Kluyveromyces lactis: one gene and its partners. The protein of the gene in region 2 purifies or fractionates together with the protein of the main gene of each other region. This does not show direct contact. Links are inferred from orthologs where the notes say so. Each region holds a gene or a part of one and is shown on either strand. Other genes may lie near its edges.

What was found.
Region 1: the proteins of MAK5 (region 2) and URB1 purify together in Saccharomyces cerevisiae (affinity purification with mass spectrometry; 4 studies listed by BioGRID). This does not show direct contact. The link is inferred for Kluyveromyces lactis from reciprocal best matches to the Saccharomyces cerevisiae genes MAK5 and URB1.
Region 3: the proteins of MAK5 (region 2) and MAK21 purify together in Saccharomyces cerevisiae (affinity purification with mass spectrometry; 5 studies listed by BioGRID). This does not show direct contact. The link is inferred for Kluyveromyces lactis from reciprocal best matches to the Saccharomyces cerevisiae genes MAK5 and MAK21.

What each region holds. Positions count from the first base shown.
Region 1 is NC_006041.1:1,618,011-1,622,404, reverse strand, and holds the start of URB1 (Urb1p), read left to right. Parts: upstream 1-1,494; coding exon 1,495-4,394. Other genes in the region: DAL81 (Dal81p), read left to right, coding at 1-105; INA22 (Ina22p), read right to left, coding at 219-911. UniProt on the Saccharomyces cerevisiae protein: Required for 60S ribosomal subunit formation and pre-rRNA processing. Required for normal accumulation of 25S and 5.8S rRNAs.
Region 2 is NC_006039.1:966,634-970,720, forward strand, and holds MAK5 (ATP-dependent RNA helicase), read right to left. Parts: upstream 2,825-4,087; coding exon 434-2,824; downstream 1-433. Other genes in the region: SUP45 (translation termination factor eRF1), read left to right, coding at 1-207; BMT2 (25S rRNA (adenine2142-N1)-methyltransferase), read left to right, coding at 3,156-4,087. UniProt on the Saccharomyces cerevisiae protein: ATP-binding RNA helicase involved in the biogenesis of 60S ribosomal subunits and is required for the normal formation of 25S and 5.8S rRNAs. Required for the maintenance of dsRNA killer plasmid.
Region 3 is NC_006041.1:1,107,969-1,112,073, forward strand, and holds the start of MAK21 (RNA-binding ribosome biosynthesis protein MAK21), read right to left. Parts: upstream 2,901-4,105; coding exon 1-2,900.

The DNA of each region.
Region 1 (4,394 bases), on a different chromosome or scaffold from region 2:
GAAGTGAGACCCAAAATTAATACTCCTTCTAATGGCAGTGCTCCCCTCGAAGAAAAGGATGTGGTCCATGATGATACAAAGGTCACAAATGAAGTTAAGTTCTGATATATTTCGTTTCATTCGTTGTAACCATATATATATACATATATATTCATTTAGAAGTCATGTAAATGAAGTGAACAATTTTCACCAATTACAAAGATATTAGTTGGCACACCCTACAAAAATCTCTTGACTTTAGTTTCTTCTGCTGCGATGTTGTATTCACCAGGGTTCTCTACGATAACATGCTTCTCAGTAGAAGGTTTGAATGCTAATCTTTTCTGTTCTCTTTGTCTCTCATAATCTAGCCATTCCTTATCTACAATAATATCGTCAGAACCCTTCTTCATAGAATCACTATCTAATTTTTTCGTCGGAGCTGCGATGCTGCTATTTGGTTGATCGATATCTTTCATGATATCCTGAAAGATATCTTCCAGTGATTCTTCTTCAATTTGTGAATTCATGCCTTTTATTACCCTTTCACGATCAATAATCTCTTTGGCCGCACGTTCACGTATCATCTTAGCTTCTCTTTCCAAATCAACAGAATTACCCAGCTCATGACGAGCGAATAGCTTGTTAACTAATTCTAGTTCCTTCTCCGCATTGTAATTGAAATCGCCTTGCTTCGTACGGTCGATCAAATCCTGTAGAATCTTAATCTTCATCTCATATCTTCTAACCATATCAGCATGTCTCTGCTGTTGGGCTGAAACACTTGTTAACACAGATCCGAATATCAATAGTGAAATTAATGGTTTAATAGCTGACTTATCAAATCTGGACTTCTTTGCGCCGTTGGTTGCATTGGTTGCAACTTCTGAATACGCTCTTCTTGAGACTTTCAAAAACCTATGTGCGAACATCTCTCTTCGTGGATCCAATTAAACGATGTACTTCGAAGAAAAGTTAAAGATTTGACGAAGCTGTTCTGGAACTCTGGAAGTAACTCATCGATGTTAATCAATTCCAAGCTTTTCATTCTGTCAACCGATATTGTTTATATCTTTTGTAAAAATAGTACATAATTTGCATAATAAGCAACAATAAACGCTAATATCTATCCTTGAGTGACCTTATTGTTACATGTATCATATCCCAGCTATCTAAAGCAGCATATATAAGACTATGGATTGTCTTACAAGCAGGTGAGGGAATATGCAAGGTGATAAGTTACTATTAATTAATTATGTCACGTGAAAATCGCATGACGCCCCGTCATATTTGGAAAATTTGTTTCTTTTAGCGTAGAATGGAAGAAAAAAATGTTGATCAAGCTCATCGCATCGATTGGGCATATACAATCATCACTTTGTTTTACTAAAATCTATGTAAGACAGTAGCATTGGTTCATTTTAAAACTTCAAGAAAGTGTGCTGGTTTATTGTAATATATATAAGCCGTTAATATCTAGCGTTTTTTGAACAGAAACTACATTGTGTTTGCGCTATGAATAACGACGACGGCTCCATGTTAGGGACCAGAAAAAGGAAATGGAAACAGAACCTTCCAAGTGTTAGTAATGTGAGCAGTGGTTTATTTGATGACCTGCAGATTCTTATCAACGGTATTGATTTACTCAATGTTGATGTTTCCAATAATTACCGCCCTGTAGCTGAGTTTTTCCAAAAGGGACTTGCTGTGCAATGCACACAAGGTTGGTCATATTATGCACAGGTGAATGAACATGCTAAGTTTGCTGAAACTACTATAAAGCTCAAAAAACTAATTGCCATTTTGAATTCGAATACCAGTGTTGTGCAATACGGATCCGTTATTATCCGTGATATACTTAATAATTACTGTAAAGTTCTTTACAGAGGTATCAATAATCTGCGTCCTTCGATAACGAATTCAGTATTTGGGTTAATGACAGAGATTGTACAGTTTAATAAAGGCCAGTTCGTTGATGAATTTTTGTCATATTTCGATTTGACGTTGGTAGCATTGTTGAAGGTTTTGAATCCAAGAAAGCTTGATAACCCAGATATTGAAGCTACTAGGAAATCAACTCACATCTCTATGAGGTCCAACTTCGTTAAATTTTGGATAACACTAGTTAAGAACGCACCGGCGGTACTAAGGAAGGATATTCTCAGTGACAATCAGAAAATTATGACCGCGTGGGTTAAGAATATGGTTAAAATGGACTCTGTTGAACTTATCGAGGAATCTCTACATCTATTTATTGATTGCATTCTAAAAGAAACGAGTTTTAGGAAGATGACCAAGAGTAAGATTTTAAATGAGTTCGTTGTGAATAGGTTGCATGAGTTTTACTATTCTCCAAATAAAGCCATTGTTTCCTTGATAGATGAATTCTTTCAAATCTATGGTGGCGATACGGACTTTGGTGTCGTATTTACCGACAAAACTTCTTGGTTTGAGGATAGTTCAAACTTGAAGTCAGGCGTTCCTGTGGTAATTAACCAGAAGGTATTCAAGTTACACAACAAGTTATTATACACCACATTAACATTTTTTAAGCCATGGGAAGATGATACACAATGTAATACAGTCATAAAAATTTTAGGTAACGTCCCAGAGTTGGTGGCTCCTTACTCAACGTACGTGTCATCTATGGGATCACATGACCCAAAGATGACAGCTTATTGGTTTGGTATGACATTGTTTTTGGGTAGAATGATCAATCTTCCCATTCCAGAATACGTCGAAACAGTAGATTCTGATAGTCTTCCATCCACAACAATTGTCGTGGAGTCGATTATTCCTTCTACTTTAACGAAAACAGCTCTTACGAAATGTCTGCAAAACAAAGTAAATCTAATCAGACAGATGGGAAGTCAATTGTTGGTATTTTCATTGAAGAAATTGGATAAAGTGCTGGACTTGTACAACGAAAAGGGATGGGATAATTCAAAGGCAATGCTCTTAAATGCTTATTTTTCGTACTTGCCAGATTTACCCGTTTTGACGACAGTTTTGAATATCTTATACACGGAATCCCCAACTAACAAAATTTTACCTTTGTCCTTAACCGTTATCCTCAATTACTATAGTAAAATATTCCCAAACTTCTTCAACGTCAATTTACCAGCTAGCAACATATATGTTGATATTATGAAAAGTGATCAATTTTCAGGAATGGATTTGGTTATCCTTGATAATTTCATGAAGTTCCAGGAACTAAATAACTCCCAAATCAAGTGGTGGAATGCCTCAAATAACGAAAACTCTCTATTCACATCGCTTTTAAGGCTCGCATCTTCGAAAAACGCTTCATCAATCGTCACTTCTAGAATATCGAATTTACTATTCAATTTGGTACAGTTCAGTAATATTTTCAAGATGAAAGAGCTAATAAGTTCTCCAATTTCAGCTTTAATTAATAGTTTATCGCTTTTGTCAAGTACTGGTTCCTCTTTTTCCACCTCGGAGCACATGAAGATTTTGAAACTATTGGATGAAGCCATTTCTAGATGTCATAAGACTCCGTATAAGTATGTTGATATGGCAAGGCAATATGAGAATCTATCACCTTTCCTTTTGACACTTGTTGAACAATGGAAATTTGTCCAAATTGATAACCCAAAAGAGTCAGTTATCGTCAAGTGGTTACTTATATTTTTCAGAAATATGCTGGTGCTAGGAGAGTCTGAAGTAGGTATTAGAAATCTACTTTCTAACGTTGAAAGTATACCTCATAATCTTGTCGAATTGTACTTATCCTTTACTGACGAGATCATTAAGAAAGTATCATCTCCGGAATACCTTTTGTTTTCAAATGATTCAACTTCTAGCTATGATCACATTTTGTTGCAATATTCCCCGAAGTTAAGCAAAATGAGCAGATTCCCTGTGAATTCTTTTGATGTAGCTGCTATTATTTTCCGTCTAAAGAAAACGATGTCAGGCAGTTTACTTTCTACGCAGGTACAGGAAACTATTGATAACCTATTGTCCAAGGTGGGTAATTATGCATTAGGTGATATGAAGTTTAAGAAACGTGTCGTTAAGAAAAGTTATTTTTCTCATTTGTTTGATGGTGAGTTGCCTAATATAGACAGCGATTCATTTGACTTATTCTTATACGTTGTTAATGGCCTTCAACAAATTTATAGTCAGCTCGATATTGAGTATGATGAATTCAGCAAATATGCCTTTGATTTATTCAAGACAATTGCTGCTTCTGAAAAATCACAGCGCAGAACCATTGCGCTGGGAGTTTTAAGCGAAATAGTTTCAGCCGAAGATGTTATCAAGTGTTTGCATATGATAGATAATTATTCTGAAACGGTTTGTAGGCAGTTGCTTCAAAGATGTCTAGTAGAAAATGTCATTGTTGATGTTGAGATCTTTACGAAAATCCTCGAAGTGGCGACTTCAGA
Region 2 (4,087 bases):
GAATGGCTTGCGGAAAATTACAAAAACTACGGTGCCAATCTAGAATTCATTACCGATAAATCCTCTGAAGGTGCTCAATTCGTTACTGGTTTCGGTGGTATTGGTGCGCTACTTCGTTATAAAGTCAACTTCGAACAATTGATGGAAGATTCAGATGATGAATATTATGATGAAAATGAAGATGATGATGACTACGATTTCATTTAAACCTCTTCAGTCAAGCGATGTATAAATAGTGTTTATAAATATATATCTTTCTTTTCATTCTTTTCTTTATCATAAGTATCACCAAGATATATTTGATTAAGTTGTATTTGCAAGACATTACATATTTTTCATGCAATTCAAACATTCTTCACACTCCGACAACGACTGTTGTATTGGGAATATATATGTTTTCCTATTTTTATTTCTCTATAGCAGATAAAGGGCTTCATTTATGCTTCTTGCCCTTGAGTGTTTGCAATGCATCCACTTTATCATGTCCAATAATGGAATTGTGACCTTTATGTTTGACTAAAGTGTCAGCGAGATTGGTCAGACCTCCTGTTAGATAGCTTTTTCTTAAATCTTTTCTTAGTGGCATTTTTAATAACTCGTTGAGCTGGTATTTTAGAGCCTTATTTTCATTCTTTTCCAACTGTTTATTCAACTTTTTGGTTTTGTTTCTAGCTAAAAATTGGTCCTTTTCCTCTTCTTCTGAATCTAATTCAATATCCAATTCTTCAGCAGCCTTTTTTAACCAATTATCATCCTTATGTAGTGATTTCGTTGCTATCTCATCATCAGCAAGTTCGCTCGCTATCTTGCTTCTTTCTCTCAGCTGAGAAACGATGTCAGGCTCAAGTGGTAACATTGGGACATCATTCTGCCATTTTGTTTTCCTGGGGTTACTACTCTTCTTGGTAGATAACACCTTTCTGAGCTTTCTTAAAGGTCCCATGGATTCCTGTGGTGAACAAATCATGACAGAAACACCTTCATTATCACCACGGGCTGTTCTTCCACTTCTGTGGATATATACGTCAGCACTGCGGGGTAAGTGATAGTGTAAAACATGTTTGATACCCGAGATGTCCAATCCTCTAGCAGCGACGTCACTAGCAATTAAAATTGTTGGTTTTCCTACCTTGCTATTTTTCTCTGATTGTTCTTTGAACTTTTCAAGGTTCCTAAGACGATTTTTTTGAGCCATTGATGAATGGATCTGGAATGACGAAATCTTTAGATTGTTTAAAAATGCATTCAACTTTTTGACGCTATCTATAGCGTTACAAAATACTAAAGTTGTGCCAGGATACATCATGATAAAGTAGTAGACATATAAGTCACGCTCCATTGGCAAACATTCTATCAGGGATTCTTTGACCTGAGATGTAACTTTATGTTCAGGATTAGTATCGATAATAACTGGCTTAGATTTGAATTGAATTTTCTTCATCAAATGATTTAAAACTTGTTCCATTTCATTGTTCTCCCCACCGGCTGTTTTAAGGATTTTCCATGAAGTTTTATCTAATTTCGTGAAAAGATCCAATGAAAATGTGGCAGAGAAAATCATTGTTTGCCATCCACTTCCAGTTGGCTTTCCGTCGATACTTGTTTTAATTTTTCGGGCTTTCCCTAATAACTTCAAAATTTTCTCGAATTCATCGAAATGTCCGTCTTGTAGTAGTCTGTCTGCCTCATCAAGAACTAAAGTGTCAATTTTGGCAAACCTAGGAATCAGATCTGGGTTCCTTTCTAATAATTCCAAAAATCTACCAGGAGTTGCCACAATGATTCTACCAGAACCATCATATTTTAAGATACGTTCTTGTTTCTGAATCGACAAACCACCTGTTAGTGAAAGAATCGTGTACTTGTTAAGCTTATTCATTTTCGTCCAAACCTTTTGCAAATGGTCAGTTACTTGATGGGCCAATTCTCTAGTTGGGGTAAATATCAAGCCGATAGACCTATCATTTGATGTGTCTTTAATTAATTGTTCAATGATAGGAATACCATATGCTAAAGTCTTACCGGAACCTGTGCTAGCCTTACCCATGATATTATGTCCTTTCAGAGCTAAAGGAATAGATTTCAATTGAATTTCTGTAGGCCTGGTGAAGCCAAGCCCAGAGAGTCCTTTCAGCACTGTGAATGAGAGATCCATATTTTCGGACCACTCAGGAAGTACTGGAGGCTCTTGATCATCGATATCGACGTTAGAGGAAAATACGTTGCTCTGTAATAAGTCATCATTTGTTTGATCTTCAGTGACAACAGTACCTGCTTCCCCCTTAACATTTTCCTTCTCGGATCTTTCTTCTTCTTGATCTTCTGCTTCTTCTCCCTCTTCTCCTTCTTCTTCAGTGGACACATGGAACTCGCTCTCTTCATCATCCGAAGCTGCACTTAACTCACCCTCCTTGATATCGTCAAAATTCTTGAATTCAATTAATTCATCCATGTTGACATCTTCATCATCCTCTTGGAAAACGATATTATCCTTTTCCTCCACTTGCTCCGGCTCTTTCTTAACGTTCTTGTTATCTTTCGTGATGAACTGGACTTTACCGTCGACAACTTTCACATCCACACCATCGATTTCTTCTAATCCGTAGAAACCACCGAAATCATCTAAAGTATCTGGAATATCAACACTCTTCCAATTCAACTCATTAGCATTAACAGTGATATCTGTAGTGGCTACTTTCTTAAGGCTATTCTTATTAACCTTCTTCTTTGAATGATTCTTTGAAATACGGTCTTTCCTATCACTTTTAACAGGCTTCAAGTTCTTGCGATTCTTATTCGCCATTTTTGAAACACCGTATACCATTATTATTTCTGTCCTTTTCTTATACAGAATGAGGTCGACAACAATTAATTACCGAGAAACTTATTGTTCATGCACACGTATGCTGGTATCTCTTCTATCTCATCTCATCTCATCTCTTGGAGCTTCTTTCTCAAGATTTTCTAGAAAGTCGAAAAGAAACGATTCTATTTATGTTACCCGGATATGTCTTAAAAACTGTCCAACTCTTACATAACCGTCTGGTAAACATGATGGTATTGAAGCGAGATGAGCATCTCTCAACAAAACAGGTAAGGGCCACTCGGGTTATAACCCTCAACTTATACGTGAAAAATCTTATTACGTTGTTCCAATGCTCTCTCGAAGAAAGAGGACCATAACTGGAAAACCTGTTGCGAAACATGTACCGAAGATCAAACCTTCCAAGGCCAGGAAGATAATTAGACGTTTCCATCTATTGATTCAGAAGAGAAGAGTGATATGCAACAAGCTGCGATGTGATATAGTAGAAAACGATGAAGAGGCCAACGCTATTAATATTGAGAATTTTTTCCGAAAGAATAAAACTTTACAGGAAGATTTTAATAAGGGCAAAAAGTCTAGACGACCAAATCCAAGATTAGAGGAATTACTTGTTCATGTGCAAAGCATTGAACACAGTCAGCAATTATGTCAAATTCTTGGTTATATATGTGGAGAAATTGAAGAAGATGGCGGTTTGCAGAATTACCAATTTGCTAGTACAGTTGGTCAGGATTCCAACAGAGGTGGTGATTCATCTAAACAATTGGTAAAGTGGTGCAAAGAACTCGGGGTGGATAAAGCTCTGGGTATGAATGCGTTGGAATTGGGATCCCTTAGTGCGAAAAATCATATTTCTGTGTGTGGTCTCTTTAATCCCGTTGTTAGGATTGATCTTAACTCAAATGATACTGTAAATATTGAAAGGCAGGATTTCATGAAAAGACCATTACCAAAGGATGAATCGCAGAGATTTGACCTGATATCATGCTCACTTGTATTGAATTTCGTGCCGACACCCCTTCAAAGAGGCCAAATGATACTTCGATTCAAACAGTTTCTGAAATGTAACAAGAAAACGTATTTGTTTCTAGTTATACCTCTACCTTGCTTGACGAACTCAAGATACATGACTAAAGACAGATTCAATGAAATCATGCATGCGCTAGGGTATAGAAAAATAAGATTTAAAGAAGCAAAGAAGGTGGCTTATTGGCTTTACGAACTCGAACAATCTGAAAACACAATGTGTTCCTCACAAAA
Region 3 (4,105 bases), on a different chromosome or scaffold from region 2:
TCAGATTCTTGCGAGGAGTCGTCTGCAGCACTGTAGAATACATCTTCATCAGATTTTACTTCGTCTTCGAGGTTATCTTCAAACAATTTGGCCTCTTCTGGATCGAAGTCACTGATGTCTTCTGGTTCACCTTCTTCAGCTTCAAGATCAGCTTCTGATGCCTCATCTTCGTCTCCCGAAGATGCAAGGTCTTTGAGATCAATATCGACATCTTCGGATGACGATCCGAAATCATCCTGTGAGAAATCGTCCTCACTGAACTCAACATCGCTGTCCTCTTCGTCACCTTCGACGTCAGGTCTTGACTTCACTAAAGCATCCCAAATTTCATCTTCGTCCAAATCGCTTTCCTCGTCGAATTCAGCTGTACCGTTTTCATCCTCTGCACCTGACTTGGTAGATTTGATGGCATTAGTCTTTGTAGAGAAATATTGATAGAAGAACTTTTCATCTGGCTTGATATCTTGCACCTTCTTACTTAACCAGTTCTCCGTGTTAGCAGGTACTTCGTGCAATGTGGTATCGCTGGCCTTCACTAATAACGAACCAGTGTGTACACCTCCCAAAGGTTGCATGATAGATGAACCTCTAGTGGTTGGCTTTTGCTTGGCGTTACGGTACACGAATCTATCCAAGAAATGGGCTAACGTGAATAGGCCAAGATCGGGTTTGACTAACTCTCTTGTTTCTTGAGTGTCACCGTCGAAGAACCCTTGTGCGTACGACTGCACAGTAGGATGGAAATGGGACAAGAATTGATTTATCTCCCAAAGCGATGAATTTTCAGCGTTGGCATATTTTGGATCACGTTTACGGCTATCGTAACCAGGTTTTTCCTTAGTTTTATCCCTGGAATCTTCGTCATCAGATTCGTAAACAGAGTCTAGTGGTGAGTTGATTAGAACATTTCTGATCTGCGGTAAACTCTTTGAAAGTTGTATCAACAAAAAGAACATACCACTAATGGCACCGATGTTCAACCAATGGGCACAGACTTGCAATATACGTTTTACGAAAGCATCCACTCTTCCAATGTCTTTATCATCTTTCAAAGATTTGTAAAGCAAGTTTAAGTAAATACCTTGCTTCGATGACGACACCAATCTTGGGTCGAGTAGGGATTCGTATAATGTCTTGTAATATCTATCACTTGTGATGTTTGTCTTCACGACAACCTGGTGAATCAATACTAATGCTTGAATTGAAGTGTTGAAATTAGACGCATGTGTTATCTTGAACAATGTATCAAGATGTATCTCGTACACGGATCCCGGCATATCAGAGAATGGGAAAGCACGATTCAAACCAGTTAGAATAGCACCGAATAATTTGGTATTTTTTTCCTCGATAACTTCTTGAGCACTTTTTTCTTCAATGACAGACTTACCACCCTTTTTACCCTTCTTGAAGTTCTTCTTTCTCTTCTTTTCATATGACTTATCGGATTCCTTGATTTCACTCTTTGATTCCTCGTTATCAGCATCAGTTTGGATTAAGAATTTCTCGAATAAAGTGAAATAGGTCTTGATTAGCTGATTTGCTAGATTCTTCTCGGAGCGTTTCAAAATTGTTTGATTAAGTGTCAATGCGGAATAGTATGTAGTATGATAGTCAGCTTGAGGCCTTATGGCAATATCGACAACAGCGTCTACCACAATTGATTTCATATTTGGATGTTGAGTTTCAAGTTTCAAAAGTTTGAAGGAAGCCTTTGACGCTACTTTGTTATCAATGTCACCTAATTTGTTAACACCAAGTTTCAACAAGTTGAATTCCTGTTCTGGTTTGGCTGTTAGCAGGTCAAAGATATGTGTTAGCACTTGCATTCTGACATAGATGATAGGATCATGGGATAATTTCTCAAAGATTTCCAAAATCTTGAAATATAGACCCTTCAAGTAATCCTCAAAATATAAAATAGCTAAAGTTCTCTTATTCAGTAGCATGGAAAGGTTTTGGTTCTTGAAGTATTTTAACTTGCGGTCAGGTAACAGACCATTTAAGAACAAATCCTTCAGAGCATTCAAAGCTTGTAATGCGGAATTTCTTGACTTCTTCCCGCAAAAGGATATCAAAGAATCAAGAGATTTGATATTATGCAATGGAGATTCCTGTAGCAATAAAGTCAAAGCACTAATTTTATCGTTCAACGTACCATCGCTTAAGATCTGGGACATAAACTTACGTTGAGATGAGTTCTTGGTAAATTCTTCGTAGTAATTAGTGTTATCTAATTCTAAGGCCTCTTTACCACGCTGGTATAACTTATCTATCTGTTCTTTCGTTAGCGGATCCTGTTCTCTTGTTAATTCAGGGTCCAAAGGAACTTCGTACCACAACAAATCTGATGGAACAAGTAATTTATCACTTTGAACAATATGAGTTTGAGTGATCATGTCGGATTGATCTTCCTTTTTTTTTTCTGCTGGTTTAGGACTAAGTGGTTCCTCCTCTTTCTCTACCGTCTCTTCTTCTTCTTCTTCTTCAACTTCTACCTCCTCCTCTTCAATATCTTTCTCTTCTTTGCCTGCATCCTCAGTAACTGTTGGTTCTTCTACAACTTCAGGTTCAGGTAGTTTATCGAATCCCATATTCTTCAATAAAGCACTGAAATCGCTCTTAAACTCGTCATCAACTTCTTCATCGGCTTCATTGAATTCAATCTCACTGGCATCGTCGTCAACACCATCAACAAGCTGGACATCTTTTTCAGAGGCTCCAAGAGACAGAGCTTCACGGATCAATTCTTCATTGGTGACAGCAGTTTCCTCTTTAGCTGGAGTAACGTCTGTCTCTTTTTCGCCCTGCTTCTTACTCTTCTTAGGCTTAGTGTCTTTGGCCTTTGAAGCTCCCAATTTGGAGGACACTTTCTCCTTCAATTTGGATAAATCAAGACTCATTCCAGATTTGCACTTGTTATCGAGTGTTGCTTCTTTCCAAGCAATAGATCAATCAAACGACAAACAGAGAAGTGGCCTCTGTGTATATCAACAAACACAGTCTGAGCGCATAATAAGAGTTGAGATGAGATGAGATGAGATGAGATGAGATGAGCTTGATTTTGGTGTAAAGGTAGAAAATTTTTGTCGTTTCTTTTCATCACGTGATTAACGATTATCCGGGTAATGAGTTTGTCTCTCTCGTTTAGTATTTACAAAAGCATTCTATGTAGTAGTGAGACCAAGAAGCGGGGAATCTGCTTGTCACATGGTTTGCCGAGAGCGTTACGAGCCAATGGACATGCTCAGGAGTAGGTAAAGCGTGAAAGTAAGTTGAATCAAAAGTTGCACAATGTATGTACTTCCCTCAAGTATCCGCCTCTCTGCATTGGAATTTCTTTACTGGAATCAATCCCAATTAAAGAATGTTTTTTGGGACCTCGCCATTACCCGCACAAACGACGTGCATGGTGGAAGCCAATGGTGCCATTAGTTGCCAATGGTGCATGCATCAATAAGCATTGACACACATACATATACATTCTTGGGGCAGAAATAGACGTGCATTTGCATGAATTGATTGGAAACTCATGGTTTCAGATGCACCAGCTCGAGGTGAACAAGGTAAGTTACGTATTGAGAACAACTCTTGGTAAAGGAATACTTCTACTATACTTCTTCTTCTTTTCATTGTGCATACAAGAGAAGAGGTTCAAGTCGAGTTGATTACCTCGAAATACAAGGTGTAGTTTTAGAGGGACATTAGGGTCATAGATACGAACCCATTGACCTGCCTAAAAATAACTCAAACTTGTACATTTCAAAAGTTGAATAAGACAAACGAGATTTTCTTTCTAAGTAGCGATAGCGAAGAATATCTATATATTCGTAAGACAATGACAATTGGTATCCTAATGAATGGACAAAGGAAACGTATAAAAAAATAACTGCAATGGCATTTGTCTTTGTGTTTTTTCTGATTTTCATCATCATTTCACTGAAATGAAAATAAAAATAGAGTGCTAATGGTAATAATGGCGTGATAAAAGTAATAAGATGATAAAGCTGATCCTTATGATATGGGAACAATGATGGCAATTGACGGGGAAGATAAAGCTTCTTAAGCTGTCCGTTCAAGCTAATTCTGGATTTTCCATCGAATGCTG